Linked DNA regions of Xenopus tropicalis. The protein of the gene in region 1 binds, or shares a complex with, the protein of each later gene. Links are inferred from orthologs where the notes say so. Each region holds a gene or a part of one and is shown in the gene's direction. Other genes may lie near its edges. The genes, in order: tnks2 and sh3bp2.

Evidence for each region.
Region 2: the proteins of tnks2 (region 1) and sh3bp2 are in contact, whole or in part, in a crystal structure (PDB 3TWR), measured with the Homo sapiens proteins. The link is inferred for Xenopus tropicalis from reciprocal best matches to the Homo sapiens genes TNKS2 and SH3BP2. Residues at the interface, in NP_079511.1 of Homo sapiens: Arg525, Ser527, His531, Phe532, Gly535, Tyr536, Asn537, Arg538, Leu560, Asn565, Ser568, Tyr569, His571, Asp589, Trp591, Phe593, Glu598, Lys604; in NP_001116153.1 of Homo sapiens: Leu413, Gln414, Arg415, Ser416, Pro417, Pro418, Asp419, Gly420, Gln421, Ser422, Arg424.

What each region holds. Positions count from the first base shown.
Region 1 is NC_030683.2:37,231,492-37,240,216, forward strand, and holds part of tnks2 (tankyrase-2), read left to right. Parts: coding exon 1-169; intron 170-276; coding exon 277-356; intron 357-2,091; coding exon 2,092-2,237; intron 2,238-3,423; coding exon 3,424-3,589; intron 3,590-5,531; coding exon 5,532-5,751; intron 5,752-6,517; coding exon 6,518-6,627; intron 6,628-6,714; coding exon 6,715-6,903; intron 6,904-7,456; coding exon 7,457-7,709; intron 7,710-8,217; coding exon 8,218-8,300; intron 8,301-8,725. UniProt on the Homo sapiens protein: Poly-ADP-ribosyltransferase involved in various processes such as Wnt signaling pathway, telomere length and vesicle trafficking.
Region 2 is NC_030677.2:22,007,854-22,017,212, forward strand, and holds the start of sh3bp2 (SH3 domain-binding protein 2), read left to right. Parts: upstream 1-3,561; 5' UTR 3,562-3,956; coding exon 3,957-4,033; intron 4,034-9,359. UniProt on the Homo sapiens protein: Binds differentially to the SH3 domains of certain proteins of signal transduction pathways. Binds to phosphatidylinositols; linking the hemopoietic tyrosine kinase fes to the cytoplasmic membrane in a phosphorylation dependent mechanism.

The sequences.
Region 1 (8,725 bases):
AATGCATTGGATAACCTAGGTCAGACGAGTCTCCATCGTGCAGCACACTGTGGCCATCTGCAAACCTGCCGACTTCTACTAAACTCAGGATGTGACCCATCGATTGTATCTTTGCAAGGCTTTACTGCTCTTCAGATGGGAAATGAAAGTGTGCAGCAGATTCTTCAGGGTATGTATTTTGTGCTTACAATGTCTCATTTTAGCAAAGCAACATTGCATGAGTTCAAAATAATGGTATCCGGTATTTTCCATTAATTATACATTTCTTCTGTGTAGAAGGCTTACCATTCAGTAACACTGATGCAGATCGGCAACTGCTAGAAGCAGCAAAAGCTGGGGATGTGGAAACTGTAAAGGTGAGCGTTTGTTGGGTGCACTTACAAATTGTACAGTGTGATATTTTAAAAAGAGATCTACTCTGAGTACGATTTGCCTATTTATTTTTCCTGCTTAGGTCAAGTAATTAACTGGATTGTTGTATGCCTCCTCTTGTGCCAGAACCTTTTGCTGTCATATAAACCTAAGAAATATACTAATACCTGTATTTATAAAATTGCTTCCATGTTTGTTTTCCTAGCTTCTTTGGTTTGGTACAGTTTGTAGTTTATCTTGCCTAAGCTTTCATTATTCTAAGACTAACTGGGCATGACCTAATACAATTTCAATATAGAATAAAAATTCTTCTCTTGCAATGTTCTATACTATTTAGTACAACACTTTTGCCAAAAGCTATTGATTTTTTTCATGAAAACAAGAGAACATTTGCTGCTATATCTGTTGATTGGGCTTTTGTCGAACACAAACTTATTTTAATCCATGTAAGGGTAAAAACACACTGAGCTACTAGTGGCAGTTACTTCAGGAAATGCCTTGCCATAGACAGCACTGAGAATTGCCTCTGCTATAATACACGTAGGGACAATTAGCAGTAAATGACCAGCATTGTCTATTTAAGTAGCCACAACAAGTAGCTGCTACTAGTAGCTCTGTGTGTCTTCACTTGATAGTATACTTGATAGTATTTTGTATGTATAAGTTTAAGATTCCATCTAAAAACTCTGCATTACATGTTGCAACAGCACCATCTGTGTTTCCACTAGGCATTACATTCTGTATAGATACAGTTTACTTCTATAATAAAATACGTTTTATGCCTGCAATTGTAGATAGGCTTGTACAAGCATCACCTCAGGTTTGGTAAAATATACTGTGGTTTTCTCAATTAGTTGACAAGTCTTGTCCAGAAATCCAAGAATATGTCCAAAGACAGTGAAGGCACCCAAAACCAGTATTAATATCAGACTTCAGATAATAGTTTTTGTCTGGTCTCTGGTTTATCAGCTTATCATTTTTTCTGTTAAAGCACCAGCATATTGCACAGCTTTGTTAAATTATGGTGTATACATCAAACATAAAGATTTCATAAAATTCTTATACAAAAGCTAATGTTCAGCAGAAAGGAGATTAACCAAAGATTTATCTTAGGGATACGACACCCTTGTGTCAGTAATATACATGGAGATTATGCAAGTGGAGGAGAATGCCTGTGCACAGTTTCAAACTCAATATATATATTTTAGGTGTTAGTGCCACATTTTGGCTGTAGTGCATTTAAAATCACTAGATTTCCCATGTGTGCTCATTGTTCATAAGCAAACACAAATTTTTATGGCACTACATTTAGAAATTGTGAGTTTTTAAACAAAAGAGATGTCACTTTAGTCAGCTAACATATTTAGAAGAATAAATCACTGGTATATATTCCCCTTTTCTCTATAACAGTTAGCACACAGGGTGGCATATACTTAAAAAATACCAGATACAATGATACATACATGTTTACGGTCTCAAATGACACATTTTCCTTTGCCTGTTTTTGTAAGAGTACTGACCCTTTTTATTATGATTTTTTTTATCATGTGATTCAGCTGTACCAAACAGTTTGCAGTACAACACACCTCTGAGATATATACAAGAATTTAGACATTCAGTATTAAATTAGATTGCAGTTGGATTTTTGCTAGATTGTGCACCTAGACTCTAGGGCCTAGAGCTTAATTTTAATTATAAGTGTTTTTGCCTTCTTTACAGAAACTTTGCACATCACAGTCGGTTAATTGTAGAGACATAGAAGGGCGTCAGTCTACACCCCTACACTTTGCAGCTGGATATAATCGAGTGGCAGTAGTGGAATATCTTTTGCAGCATGGAGCGGATGTGCATGCAAAGGATAAAGGGTAAACAAGCTCAATTCTTTCCTATTACTCCCTTTTTTAACCTTTTTTTTTTATTGCATACAGAGTAAATGCAGTGGAAGTTTATAAACAGTTGTTCAAGAACAGGTTGTATTTGCAAAATCTATTAAGAAATATATATTTGCAAATTAAATGCATATCATATTTGTAAAAACAATAGACCTAAGCCCTGAACCAGCAAACCAGAAGTCAGAACTCCGGGAATTTATACTGTGGGATAAATCTGGTCCCTGCACATTATTATGTGGTTTCATGTCTAGTGATTAATAAAGGGCGGAGGAAAGGGATTCTCTGTACTTGTTCAATAAAAATAAAGAAAATTACATACTTTAACATTTTAAATTTTTTTTTTTGAAGAAGAAGAAGAATAGCGTGTCTGAATGGGACCTACAATCCAGATATCCATTATCCCATTATCCAGAACACTTTAAAATACAGCATTGCCATTTACCATTTAAAACACAGCTTTGAATTTTTTGACTGATTTATTCTGTTTTCTCTGGAAAAGAGGCGCTTGCGAGGGGACATGATTACTCTGTACAAGTACATTAGAGGGGATTATAGGCAGATGGGGGATGTTCTTTTTTTCCCATAAAAACAATCAGCGCACCAGAGGTCACCCCTATAGATTAGAGGAACAGAGCTTCCATTTGAAGCAGTGTAGGTGGTTTTTCACGGTGAGGGCAGTGAGGCTGTGGAATGCCCTTCCTAGTGATGTGGTAATGGCAGATTCTGTTAATGCCTTTAAGAGGGGCCTGGATGAGTTTTTGAACAAGCAGAATATCCAAGGCTATTGTGATACTAATATCTACAGTTAGTATTACTGGTTGTATATATATAGTTTATGTATGTGAGTGTGTAGATTGGTTAGTATAGGTTGTGTGCTGGGTTTACTCGGATGGGTTGAACTTGATGGACAATGGTCTTTTTTCAACCCTATGTAACTATGTTGCAGTATCTGTTCCTCGTATGTGATGTTAACTAAACCATCATGAATTTTTCTCTAAATTGAAGCCGTTGCACCTCACATACCAGATAATAGAACCCATTGTTTATATGGTTTTTAATAGTTACAGAGAACAACTTGGGAACAGAAGAAATGAATGGTGAATTTAACCGTTGTTGTTGGTTGAAAATAAGAGTGTTATGTAAATTATTTCCTTTACAGCGGGTTGGTTCCTTTACACAACGCTTGTTCCTACGGTCACTATGAGGTTACAGAGCTTCTTGTCAAGCATGGAGCAGTTATCAACGTTGCAGATTTATGGAAATTCACCCCTTTGCATGAAGCTGCAGCAAAAGGAAAATATGAGATTTGTAAACTTCTTTTGCAGGTTTGTATGTTTAACCTTTTACCCAAAGAATATAACCCGAGGAGTTATGTGACCATATAGAAGCAAAAGGTGACTTTATAAATTACAGTAAGGGGGTGTATAATTCATTATAATCTACAGTGTTTCTATGTGCAGTGTCTTCAAAGAGCTCTCTGTTTGCTCCATTTTATTGTCTAAAAAGACAAACTTTAGTCTCCTCCTTTCTGTTCCCCTTGTTGTTTTAAAGTTTAGTCTTGCCTCTCTCGGTAGTCCCTATGTACATGTGTTTTTTCAGCATTTTTTTCCTTCCTGTGATCTGAGCAGTGGTATCCTAACCAGCTGTGTTAAACTGTGCAGGTCAATGAGAGGAAGGGAAAAGGAGACAACGATGATGGGGAGAGGGGAAGCAAGAGCAGAGGCGGATGGAGAGGAGGAAGCGAGGTGTGAGCAACACCAGAGATTGATTAAAGGGTGGGAGCAAGACTGAAGAGGGAGAGAATGCATTAGGGGCAGAGGGAACGAGACATAAAGGGAGCGAAAAATGGAGTTGGATGGTGAATGGGAGCGGCAGACAGAGCAAGACCAGAGAGGGGCAGAGGGTGGGAGGGAGATGCTAAGACCAGAGATGGATGCAAAATGGAATCAGTAGACAGAGCAAGACTAGAGAGTAACAGAGTAGGTGGAGTAGAGTGAGAGACCGGAGATGGATGGAAGGTGGGAGCAGCAGAGGGATCATGACTGGAGAGGGGCAGAGGAAAAAAAGTGAGAGGGAACAAGACAGGAGAAGGAAGAGTAAGTGAGTGCACGGATTGAAGTAAGAAAGTGAGGGAAGTCAGACTGGAGGGGGAAAAGCCAAAAGAAACACTGCAGGGAGAGTGCAGCCGTGGTAACTGCTGTCTCAAGTTATAAATGGCTTCTGATGAAGGAAAGCACCATTTATAAGGATATAATTTAAAGTTTGGTCCCACAGGAAAATTACCAAGTTGTAGATAAAAATAATATAAACGGACTTGGCTAGTTCAGCAAACTTTTATATCATGTTGCAATGTTGAATCTTCTGTTGGTGGTTGAAAGAACCAATCTATCTTTTGGCATTACAAGGCTTCTAGATTATGTGTGATTGCAATAGTTTTTTTTTTTTTAAATACATTTTTATTTTTTTAAAGTTTATTCCGCTGTTCTTTACAGATATTATGCAATGTTCATACCAGTCCCTGCTCCATAGAGCTTATAGTCTAAGTCCTATCACGTTTAATTACACTATGGTCCGTTTCATCAAGAACCAGTTAACCTGAGTGTGGGTGGAAACTAAAGTATCCAGAAAAAACCCACACAGACATGAAGGAAAATATACAGCAGATAGTGCCCAGGCTGAAATAGAACCTAGGACCCCAGAATGGCAAGGCAACAGTGCTAACTATTGCGTCATCTTGTTTTAAATTTAGACTTACAGAGCTCTATTTTTTTTTTTATTTAAGTAGCATCATGGGAACCAGCTTCATTAGATAAGGCCACACAGGACTGGTTAATCTGATTACTACATCCAAACTGCCCAGCTTTGACCAAACAGTTTACTGATCGTAAGGGAAAATAAGGTTTAATCGGTTTGGTATGATCATTCATGAGGCCACTGGCTAACACAGAACAGCAATACTGTATATAATTTACATGAGTGCGATGCAGGTATATGCTTGTATGGCCAAATTATAAGGGTATCCTGGAAGTTGGCTTGTATTTGCCCACTTTTATTTTCCCATATGGCCCTGCCCAATCAGCAGTTACTTGGGGAAACTGAGAAACAGTTCACAGATAGTGCTAAGATAATAGAGACCAGGTGCCTACCCTCTTTTGTGTCTGAAAGCAAAACAGCAGCAAGTCATGGCGTTTTAATGTTTTATGTTACAACTAGCCATAATGAAAATTTTTTTTACATTGTAATTTTTATAATATCTGTGATAAATAGCATGGAGCTGATTCAACAAAGAAAAACCGAGATGGAAACACCCCTTTGGACTTGGTGAAAGATGGAGATACTGACATTCAAGATCTTCTCAGAGGGGATGCTGCATTGTTAGACGCTGCTAAGAAGGGCTGTGTATCACGGGTTAAAAAACTATGTACTCCTGAAAATGTCAATTGTAGGGATACGCAGGGAAGACATTCTACACCACTTCATCTAGCAGGTCAGTTGGGTGAAGCAGCTTTATTTTGGTAAAGATTTTTTTTTTTTTTTTCTCTACAGCAAGTCCCACTGCTTTTGGGTAGAGGTTTTTATTTTTATAGTTTTACAGATACAGTTGAACTTCAAGGAAAGCATTAGTTAATATTCATTAAAGGATAGCAAAACCCACTCATATCACTAAAGGAAAGCAAATACTAGTTATATAACTAAGGCTCCATAAAGATGCTGCCCTTCCTGTTCCTGGGCCACACCAGAATGACACCAATACAGCCTTGTTTAGCCCTGAGTAGCACAGTAGGGTTGGCAGCCACAACCTTTGCCCAATTGACCTCCTTTTCCCAGCTCTGTGATGGCCAGACTCTGCACATATGAAGCCGATCTGGTCCTGACTTTGCTGACAAGAAATGTGCACAGTTGATAGCTGTTGAAAGGACCTCAAGCAGCCACAGATGGTGCCCACCAACCCCACTGCGCTGCTTTATATTCACATGGTGTGATTCAGAATGGGGGGTATAAAGGCCTCTGAGGACGCCGAAGTTCTCTTAATAGGTTTCTTTCTCATTTCAGTTACAGTGCATAGATCCTTTTACACAGAGTTTATACATCATTCACATCATGAAGTTTTCAACATTTTCTTGAATTTTTATCTCTTTACTTAGTATTACATAACCATTAGCTTGTTCCTGATCTTGCTCTTCTATGTAAATGTTCATATTTGTGTGACTCCACCTGAATGTCATTTCTGACGCAGCTGATTTTATTCACAGCTGGCTACAATAACCTGGAAGTTGCAGAGTACCTCTTACAAAATGGTGCTGATGTAAATGCGCAAGACAAGGGAGGCCTTATCCCTTTACACAATGCAGCATCATATGGGGTAAACAGTTTGTTTATTGGCATATGTTTGTCTAAATCTTCTGTTGATAATTCAGAAGTAACCCACAAAGCTATTGTTGTTTTGCAGCATGTGGACGTGGCAGCTTTGCTCATTAAATATAATGCATGTGTCAATGCCACTGACAAATGGGCTTTTACGCCCTTGCATGAAGCAGCTCAGAAAGGAAGAACTCAGCTTTGCGCTCTGCTCCTGGCACATGGGGCAGATCCTACTTTGAAAAACCAAGAAGGGCAAGCTCCATTAGACTTGGTAACAGTAAGTTGATGGCCATTTTATTATTTAGATTTATTTCAACTAGAAAATGATTGTGAACATTTTGTCAGTCTTACAGCGCCGGTTGATAATACTTTTAGCAATATATCCGTTTCTGTTAATTGCTGCATATTAGCACTAATTTATAAACCGCATGCTTGCATTTTTTGCCTAGCTGCATTAACTGGCGTTCAAGTTGCTGTGTAGATTGAAAATATCCTTGAAGTTTCTTGCAGAATTTTGTATCAGCCAACCATTCCTGCTTTCTCTGCTTCACATTAACTTAATTAAAATAAAAGTTTCTGGTCCTGTTAACAAAGGACATCTGTGTGACCTTTGAAGTACAGTGGCATTGTTCCTATGTGGCTTTATTCTTCCGCTTGAGGTCTGTGGCTGGAAAAAAAAAAGTGTAGACTTTTTTTCTTCAACATTGCTTTAGCAACCTAAATATTTAGGCATTCTTGGTTTCTTTAGCAGTGCTAAAAATATTTTATATACATGTATAATAAGCCTAATTGGATTAAACTGTGACTAATTATCTTTTCTCTGTGATCAGGCTGATGATGTTCGGGCTCTTCTGACAGCTGCCATGCCTCCAGCTGCTCTGTCAACATTTTATAAGCCACAACTAATAAATGTTTCTCAGCCTTCTGCCACTGCTGTGGCAACCCTTTCTTCTGTGCCATCAAGTTCACCAACTCTCTCTGCTGCAAGTAGCCTGGATAACTTGGCTTCCGGCTTCTCAGAAGCCACCTCTGTTAGTAGTGGAGGAGCTGAAGGAGCATCTGGATTGGATAAGAAAGAAGAAGGTAAGATGTGCTTAATGCTGTCATCATTTTGTAACTATCTGTGGAACTTTTACTGCAGCTTTATAATCTCAAATAAAAAGTACCTTCAGCATTTACATGTTCTCCATTTTGTTGCCAGTATTATGTCATTATTGACGGCACCAGTGACATTGTGGCACAATTTTTTTTCCTCAAAAGTAGGCCGGTGATCACTTCTATTTAAAGATTTTTTTTTTTTTTTTTTTAAAAAGGTACATTTTATTGATTCAAAACGCAAAACAGACAAAATTAAAATAAAGCAACTTATGCTCCAGTAGGGCAGATGGGTGTCAGAGTGAACAAAGCAATATAAAGCCATATCTGCCCAGAGTATGAACTTTTACCAATACATCAACTATAGTCCAAAGCTTTTGAACAAAAAATCACCAGGTACTTTGGTTATTTACCCCTACTAGAAAGAAGGTAAGAAGTCTTTATGATGACCAAGGAATAATAAAGCGTGTCTTTAACTGTACAATTTTCTCCATAGTTCCAGGTGTAGAGTTGAGCATCAATCAATTTTTGCGGAACCTTGGCCTAGAGCACTTAATCGATATCTTTGAGCGAGAGCAGGTTAGTACTTTATGTAGTCATATTTAATGAATTGTTCTTATTCATGTTATATGTTCTGCTCATCAGTTATTGCTGTGCAGGAAGATTGCAGCATTTAGTGATAGAATATTTTTAGTAAACCAGCTAGCATCACAGACATTTTGTTTCCTGCAGGTTTGCATACTAATACCCACACTTATCTCCATCACCAGTCAAGCAAAATCTGGGATCTGCTGCATTTGATGCAAAATGAAGCCTGGCAACTTTGATTCCTTGGCTAAAATATGTATTTAAACATACAGTATTTCTGTGGCAGCTTACAATAAGTTGTGATTACTGAAGAAAAATATTTAAAATAAATATAATCATTTATGGATTTGGTGCATCTTAGAATTACTTTTTTTGTTTAAATACAGAACTCTAAATACTGTATTCTGTCCAGACTT
Region 2 (9,359 bases), on another chromosome or scaffold:
ATAATATGAGATTATATTATACAGTATCTAGTAGAATTAAGTCTAAAACAACTGGACTTTTCTGAGTTTTTCTTGAAAACGTTTCACCACTCATCCGAGTGGCTTCTTCAGTTCAAATGACTGGTAGGGAATTCCCCGGTATTTAAACTCAGAAAAGTCCAGTTGTTTTAGACTTAATTCTACTAGATACTGTATATCATGACCTGGATGAATGAGAATCTTCATAGACATGAGATTATATTAACACCATGTGATATCTTTATATTCATCTATGGGATGATGCACTTCACACTCTGTTTGAATGGCCAACATTAGTTCTCAAAACAGAGCTTGGGACGACTGTGGCGGTTGTAAGGGGTGGATTGTGGTACATGTTACTATAGGAACAAAACCTACTAAACCGTGTGAACCTGGCATATTCACATGGTTGTGGTGACTCTCTTTTGAAATATTGTATTTTTCATCATGTTCATTAGAAAACAGGAACTGTCTTGCCTTTCCCTCATGGTATCTCCAGACTTCATGATGCACTTTGTCTGGACTTAGTCTTTTTTAGGTTGAAAAAATACATCCATCCATCACGTTTTTTATAAAACCTCTCTTCTATCCCCAGAAGTCATAGGCATTATGGTTGCTGTCTTGTATAAAAAAGGACATTGACTCAAGGGATGAGAACATAATTTTGCCCCTTTATAGGTCCCTGGTAAGGCCTCACCTTGAGTATGCAGTGCAGTTTTGGGCTCCAGTCCTTAAGAAGGATATTAATGAGCTGGAGAGAGTGCAGAGACGTGCAACTAAACTGGTTAAGGGGATGGAAGGGTTAAACTATGAGGTGAGACTGTCAGGGTTGGGGTTGTTTTCTCTGGAAAAGAGGCGCTTGCGAGGGGACATGATTACTCTGTACAAGTACATTAGAGGGGATTATAGGCAGTTGGGGGATGTTCTTTTTTCCCATAAAAACAATCAACGCACCAGAGGTCACCCCTTTAGATTAGAGGAAAGGAGCTTCCATTTGAAGCAGCGTAGGTGGTTTTTCACGGTGAGGGCAGTGAGGTTGGGGAATGCCCTTCCTAGAGATGGGGTAATGGCAGATTCTGTTAATGCCTTTAAGAGGGGCCTGGATGAGTTCTTGATCAATCAGAATATCCAAGGCTATTGTGATACTAATATCTACAGTTAGTACTAGTGGTTGTATTTATAGTTTATGTATGTGAGTGTATAGATTGGTAGGTGTGGGTTGGGTGCGCTGGGTTTACTTGGATGGGTTGAACTTGATGGACACTGGTCTTTTTTCAACCCTATGTAACTATGTAACTATGTAACGTTCAACCATAATGCCTATGACTTCTGGGGATAGAAGAGAGGTTTTATAAAAAAAAAAAAATTGTAAGGCAGCACCAACTGGAGGGTGGCAATCATGCCATAAAAGGATACAGAGCTACCATAGCAACCAATCATCAATTATCTTTGATCAGTCAGCTGCAAGATGAATATTAAAAGCAAATTTGTCCATTGTTAGGGACACTCTATGTAATATTAGCGAATCAGTTATAAGGGTATATAGGGTATTGTTTGTACAGAAAACTATTAGCTGTATTTCATTTGTATGTTTCATGCAGGATGCTGCCACTCTGCAGAGCTATTTAACTAAATAGGAAACTGAGCAGCAAACTGGCAAGTGAGGTTCAGTGTTGATAAATGTGAGCTTTGGTAGAAATAATATAAATGTGAGTTAAACACATGTTAGGGATATCCTTATTTGAGAAGGATATGGGGATTTTTGTGGATAACAAGCTGTGTAACTCTAGGCAGCATTCTTTTGTGGCTGCTAAAGCAAATAAAGTGCTGTCTTGTATAATAACTCAAGGGATGAAAACATAATTTTGCCCCTTTATAGGTCCCTGGTAAGGCCTCACCTTGAGTATGGGGGGCAGTTTTGGGCTCCAGTCCTTAAGAAGGATATTAATGAGCTGGAGAGAGTGCAGAGACTGCAACTAAACTGGTAAAGGGGATGGAAGGGTTAAACTATGAGGTTAGACTGTCACGGTCGGGGTTGTTTTATCTGAAGAAAAGGTGCTGGACATAATTGCCCTTTACAAGTACATTAGAGGGGATTATAGACAGATAGTGGGGGGTCTCTTTTCACATAGAAAAGAACAAAGAAGAGCCCTGACCTCACTGTAGACTTTTAGGGCTCTTGCACAAGGGGAGATTAGTGGCCCGTGACAAATCTCCCTGTTCGCGGGCGACTAATCTCCATGAAATGCCATCCCACCGGCGAAAATGTAAATCGCCGGTGGGATGGCATACGTGGCGCCTAGGAAGTTGCCTTGAGAGGAAACTTCCTAGATCAGTGCTGTATTATACGTATACTAGTAACCATTTGTCTTTTTATTTATTTATATTTTCCCTCCCAATGCAAAATATGCAAAGTGTATTATGTAATATCCCTACATAGCAAGCAAGATATATGGTTGTTTTCAGGCACAATGAGCTTATAGGCCTGGGAGGGGATGTGCCTGTCATTATCCACTTCTTGTGACCCCCATAGAAAAGAATAGGGATGCGACTCACAATGCGACCTTACCCCAAGTGGCAGTTTGTGGCCCTATTAGGAGGGGCACCTTATTAAACACCATTCTAATAGGAGGTGTGCCTTATTCAAAACTATTCTATTAGGAGGGGCACCTTATTAAACACCATTCTAATAGGAGGTGTGCCTTATTCAAAACTATTCTATTAGGAGGGGCACCTTATTAAACACCATTCTAATAGGAGGTGTGCCTTATTCAAAACTATTCTATTAGGAGGGGCACCTTATTAAACACCATTCTAATAGGAGGTGTGCCTTATTCAAAACTATTCTATTAGGAGGGGCACCTTATTAAACACCATTCTAATAGGAGGTGTGCCTTATTCAAAACTATTCTATTAGGAGGGGCCCCTTATGAAATGTTAGGCATTGCCCTTTTTTCAACACTATTCTAATAGGAGGTGCACCTTATGCTGCCCTCGTCTGATAGGAGGTGTTCCTTATTCAAAACTATTCTAATAGGTGTGTTGTATTCAACACCAATCTAACGGGTGTCCAAGTTGCAACCCCATTCCAATAGGAGGTGCCCCTTATGCTTCAACATTTTAATGCGTTGCACAGAGGTGTATGAAATGCAGCCGTGTTATTCCCCAAGTCTGCCTCACTCTAAAGTGTTTTATGTGGCCCCTGGTGACTGTGCCTGACCGTACAGTATCTTAGCCAGCCGTACAGACTTAGCCTGTTTTAGATTTCGGCCCCCTTATGTGATTGAGTTTGACACCCCTGCTCTAAAGCATACAAACAACATTTAGTATTACCCATTTACAAGTCCATTAGTATAGGATTAAAAAACTCTGAGGTCAGATTTTTCTACATTTCAGCAATGCCATGACATATTTGGCTGAAAGCATGGCCGCTGTTGCCCATGCCGTTAGCAGACATTAGAGGAGAGGCTAGACTGAGGCCAGTTCAGGTGAGCGTGCCTTCCCTCAGTTCCCTTTTTCATAAATGGGGAAGCGCTTTCTCTATAAAAGTAATGTGGTCCCCGCCCGGAAATCCCCCTGTGATTTCTTTATTTTTTTAAAAGGCAGCAATTGGCTCAGGGCTGGGTTCCCATAGTAAAGCCGTGGGCTTACGGCCAGGACGCTTGCATCTGATAAATGCACGTTGCAGACCCCAGGAAGGAGGAAGTTGCAGCCACAAGACAGGAAATAAGTCACCGGCCAGCTCCATCGCTTGTGTCCACCCTACAAGCAGCATTAGTTCAGCTTTTTCCCCTTGAAGCTCGCAGCAAGGCGTGGAGCAGAGCGGCACAGAAGTCACCGTTAACTTCTACTTCCCCTCCCCATTATCTGCACCGTTCTGAATACTCGTCCCCTCTGCTCAGCATGCGTCTGGCCTTCCGGACCATGTTTTTTACCTAATGGCTACAAATATAAAAAGATCACAGTCGCTGGCGGTTTCATTCGAGAGGAGGACCATGTGTAGGCAGGACATAAGGTAAGTGATTGCTCGGATGCAGCAATCTCAGTCTTACGTGGGTTATTATTATTTGTATCCATAGTACACAGAATACTGGGGATCTATCAACATGGGATAATGGCTCCCATTTATTAACAGTGGGCAAAAAACTGTGCAAATGTTGGTATAGGTTGGCACTTATTATTGCCCCAGGTGCAGGATGACACTGCCAGTGCATGGCACAACATTTTACATTAGTAGGAGTAAGTAAATCCTGCACTAATTACATACTCGTCAATAGGGGTGTCAATCTTGGCCATTCTCTTATATGCCCTCCATTGTCACCAATGAAATCATGTGTGGGTGCAGAAGCCAAAGAGAACCCTGAGCTAAACAGGTGAGTAAATGCAGGAGTAAGTGCCATCTCTATGGCTTCTATACAGATGCACATTTGCACCCATTTCTGCAGCTAGCACTTTGCCCACTGTTAGTAAATCAGGCACAAGAAGTAATAGTATCTGCATTAATGACCAGATTGTGTTTCCCAGTGAGTTGTACAACAGTTGCTTGTTTGGTTGGCACTGTAGCCTGGCATAGTGATGTATAGGGGTCTCACCTGCATGGCTGTCAATGTAAAACTATCTGGTGATTGGTTGCTAGAAAGGTTTGCTTCCTGCAGACTTGCTGCTGGCCACATGGAACTGTATTGGTGGCATACCTGTATGACTGTGTTGAAGGGGGAAAATAATTGGGTTTATTTTGTTGTCTATTTAGAAAGGGCAGCTGACTCCATTAGTGGGGCCTGAGGCAAAGTGGAGCCCCGTAATTTAGATCCCAGCCCAACAATTCTCTAGCTGTTAGTGAGATATAACCCTCAGCATCTCCTGGCAGCCTTTGGCTGATGATGGAGGCAGGGAGTTTAAACCAAGCAACCAATAGGGCAAAAGGGTTAGAAGGCAAGCGGTAATAAAGGTTTTAAATAGAGATGCACCAAACCCACTTTTTTGGGTTTGGCCGAACCTCCGAACCCACCCAGAAGAATTCGACCGAATCTCGAACCGAATCCGAATCCTTATTATCATATGCTGATTAGGATCGGAAGGGGTTAAAACCAGGATTCGGTGCATCCCTAGTTTTAAAGCAGTGGGTGCCTTTGTTTGGAATGTAATACCATTAATGTGCTAATTATATCATAGGTGGAACTGCTGGATTGGCATGATATTTTTTATCAGGACCCCCTTTCAGTTTGCCACTTTATTATTGCATTTATTTGTTATATTCCCTTCCTAGATATGTGGTGCGCACCTCTATACTCTGCATGTAACTGCTGATCGGCAGTACCCCACAGATGTAGGATCCATTTAAAGACAGGGCTAAGAGAAGGGTTACATTGACTATAAAAGCCAGGTCTGTGTTATAGAGACATCATCACTAAATAAGGCCTGTGATACAGTAAGTGCTAAGGGTATTATCTCAGGCCGAGGAAAGACAATGGCTGGGGGGCTGTAAGACTCATTTAACAAACAAACTAATAATTATTATTGTTTATAGTTTTCTGTTCAATCCCTCTCCTGCTTGTACATCATTCTAATGCCAGGTTGCTAAAACCAATGGCCATAGCAACTAGATAGCAGTCTTCTCTAGTTCTCCAAACTAGAGAAGTGCAGAAGGGGAAACAAAAGTTATAATGTCATTAAAATCTCATTGCCACTGACTGAGGGTTCTGGGAGTCACAGGTTTGATATCCCTTCATAGACCATAAAACCTTCCTTTTAATAATGTTACTGTTTGCTTTAATGCACATGAAAATGACTCATTCATTCTGTTTCTTGTGTGTTTATAAATAACAATACTTATTGCTCGCTACTGAGTCACACTTTCCAATAAAATTTAATCTGCGAGACTGATGTGGGAGGGATAGTCAGAGCCAACAGAGAGCAGAAAAGAAAGAGACAGACAGACACCATGATTTACAAAAAAACCTATTAATTATTGAATGTTTGTTTTTAATGTATGTTGAAAAGTTGCTTAGAATTTTTAGGCAAAATTCTATACAGGTATGGGACCTATTATTCAGAATGCTTGGGACCTGGGGTTTTCCAGATAAGGAGTCTTTCTATAATTCGGATTATTACAGAGAAAATGGAATCATTTAAATATTAAATAAACCCAATAGGGCAGTTCTGCCCCCAATAAGGGGTAATTATATCTTAGTTGGGATCAAGTACAGGTACTGTTTTATTATTACAGAGAAAAGGGAATCATTTAACCATTAAATAAACCCAATAGGGCTGTTCTGCCCCCAATAAGGGGTAATTATATCTTAGTTGGGATCAAGTACAGGTACTGTTTTATTATTACAGAGAAAAGGGAATCATTTAACCATGAAATAAACCCAATAGGACTGTTCTGCCCCCAATAAGGGGTAATTATATCTTAGTTGGGATCAAGTACAGGTACTGTTTTATTATTACAGAGAAAAGGGAATCATTTATTTAATGGGTTTCTGGATAAGGGGTCCAATACCTGTATTTGGGAACCATTATATATATTTGGGGTCCCTTGCTGCTGTCCTTGCCCTGTGTAAGTTGTAATTTTATATCTAAATATGGTACCCTATGGCAGTGGCACACAGTACTATTATTAGTGTTTTGATCCCAAAGCTCCATAGGAAGGGGCAATATTCTTAAAAGGGCCCCCTTTTAGTTGGGTGGCTATATGGGTGCACCTACTTATCAGGAGATCTGGCAGACAACAGAATATCCGTGCTTGTTCAGCAAAATGTGGTGATTTCCCACAATCTCCCTGTATCAGAAAAGAGACTGGGTGGCACAGGGGATAAATGAGGGAAGGCCTGGGTGCCTGTAATGACTTCCTTCTTTACTCCTTGTGCCCTTGGGAGAGTGGCTTTATCTGCCTGTGCTTCGAACTTCAAACCTTCAACCAGGCTTTTGTCTTTATTGCCTAGTGCCTAGCCAGAAAGCAAACACCTAATTGGTTGCTTGAGGTTACTAGGTTGGAACAAAAGCTTATCCATGTGAATAAATTGTGCATTAAATTCTATACTTTGGCCATCCATGGCCTCTATATGCCATTACAAGTACATTAGAAAGTTGGTAGTGGGCTAAGGTACCCTACTCTACCCAATAATTGTTAGGGCAAATGGTCTATTCTGCACCAGTCAGGGTATAACATCTGTTTGGTTAATGCTTTGCCCCACTCTAGGGTATATATTTAGCTATATTGTAGTTCCTTGGCTAATAAGCTCCTTTAGTAGCCAGGGAACCCTGAACAGTGCATTTTGTGGCTTACAAAGTATATTTTACCCAAGCAGGCAATATGGCAGCTCCCACTCAAGTATATACATTTAGATATGCAGAGAATTAATGTTCAGTACAGAAACAGTTACCAGAAATGTAGCGTGTTGGTACAGCTGTTTTTCTTTGAGTTTACTGATAAGAAAGTAGATTATAGGGAAGGAGAGGAATGGTCCAGCCCAAATGGCATTGGCTGACCTTCACTTTATCTTGCTGACTTTGTAGCACAGATTTCAGTAGCCAGCAGGCAGACTGAGAGTTGTTTTTATCTAATTTAAGAAGCCCTCCCCTACATTTCCTATGGTAGGTGCAGCGGCTGTGCATTAGTGCCCACTCTGCATTGCTGCCCACTCTGCATTGCTGCCCACTCTGCATTGCTGCCCACTCTGCATTGCTGCCCACTCTGCATTAGTGCCCACTCTGCATTAGTGCCCACTCTGCATTAGTGCCCACTCTGCATTAGTGCCCACTCTGCATTACTGCCCACTCTGCATTTCCTAAACTCGTGTTTATCTCCCAGTTCCCCCTCAATTCTGTATCCTGCCCACGCACTAGCACGCTTATTTATATATCTGCCTCAGATGAGTGGGAGGATTTGAGAAACATCAGCTATTTATAGGATAAGAGAAGGTGCGTGGGTGACTTGTGGGTGCTGAAAATTCCCCCTTGGCTGAAAAAGGATGTGCTGCCTTTTATGAGTGATTTTTCTGAAACGGGGGGGAATTGTGCAGGGCTAATATATAATATAAACTAAGGGACCTCTATTGCAGTCGCTATGTAGTATTACTGTTACCAGTTGTACCACTTCTTCGCGGTTTCACCCCAAATCTGCCGCACAGGATCAAGTGGGAATAATTTCCCTTGCGAGGAAACTTTGAGCGACTTTGGAAAACATAGTGCCGAATGAAACAATTCACTTTATCACTAGTGGGAAAGCATTCAGTGGAGATTAGTTGCCCACGGCAGCACAGATTTAACCACGGGGGCGACAAATCTCCCCATGTCCATCAACTATCATCATCAAAGGTGATCCCCATTCAATGGGAACAGGGGGGCGGGGGGGATTTCTAGCATTTTATAATTCTCCCATGGAGCTACAAAACACTTAAGCATGAATTTTGCCTCCCTTAATGCACTTGTGCTGATCCAATAGTAAATAACGTTGAATGCTGTCCGGTTTTGACCTGGACAGCCCGGTTTTTGGAAGGGCTGTCCGGGTCAAAACCTCCTGCCCCCGAGGTGGCAACCTTAATAGTAAATGGGCTATTAATAAATATATATATATATATATATATATATATATATAAAGCCACAGCACAGTTTATGGCACTAGATTTGGCTTACACTCATATAATTCAGCAACCAGAAGGCACTTATTCGGTGGGTCAAAAATGTGCCGGGAAGAGAATATCTGTACACATGGCATACAAGGCTAACTTGCTTCTAATCCAAGTTGACTATTGTGTATGTGCTGGGACCTTAGATCGCAAGCTCCACTGGGGCAGGGACTGATGTGAATGATGTATAATCTCTGTAACAGTGTAGAATGGTGCTATATAGATATAGCATAATAAAAGTAAAAGGGATCAGGGGTGGCCTTTGGAAATAGATATTACTGCTTGCAGAAATATGGGAAACAGAGTTACTCTGTATTCTGTCAATTGCCCTTCTGCTAAGAGACAGCAGCTTCTGGGATCTCAATAAAAAGCCATGATCACATATAGGATGCTTCTGACCTCCTGTTGGAAGGCTGTTATACAATGCACAAGCACTTTGCTCTCCTAGATAATATGATGTAGTTATATATGTATAGGAAGTACATTATTGCCCTGACCCTAATAACCCTAAGAACTAACCCTTATCCTGGCAGTGATCCACAACCAGTGGCTTTTTAGCAACATGTTGCACACCAACCTTTTGGATGTTGCTCCCAGTGACCCCAATGCTAATTTTTGAATTTCTCGTTTAGAGGCAAATTTTGGTTGCATAAAAATAAGGTGTACTGCCAAACAGACCCTCTTGTAGCCTGCCGGTTTCATAGGATCTAC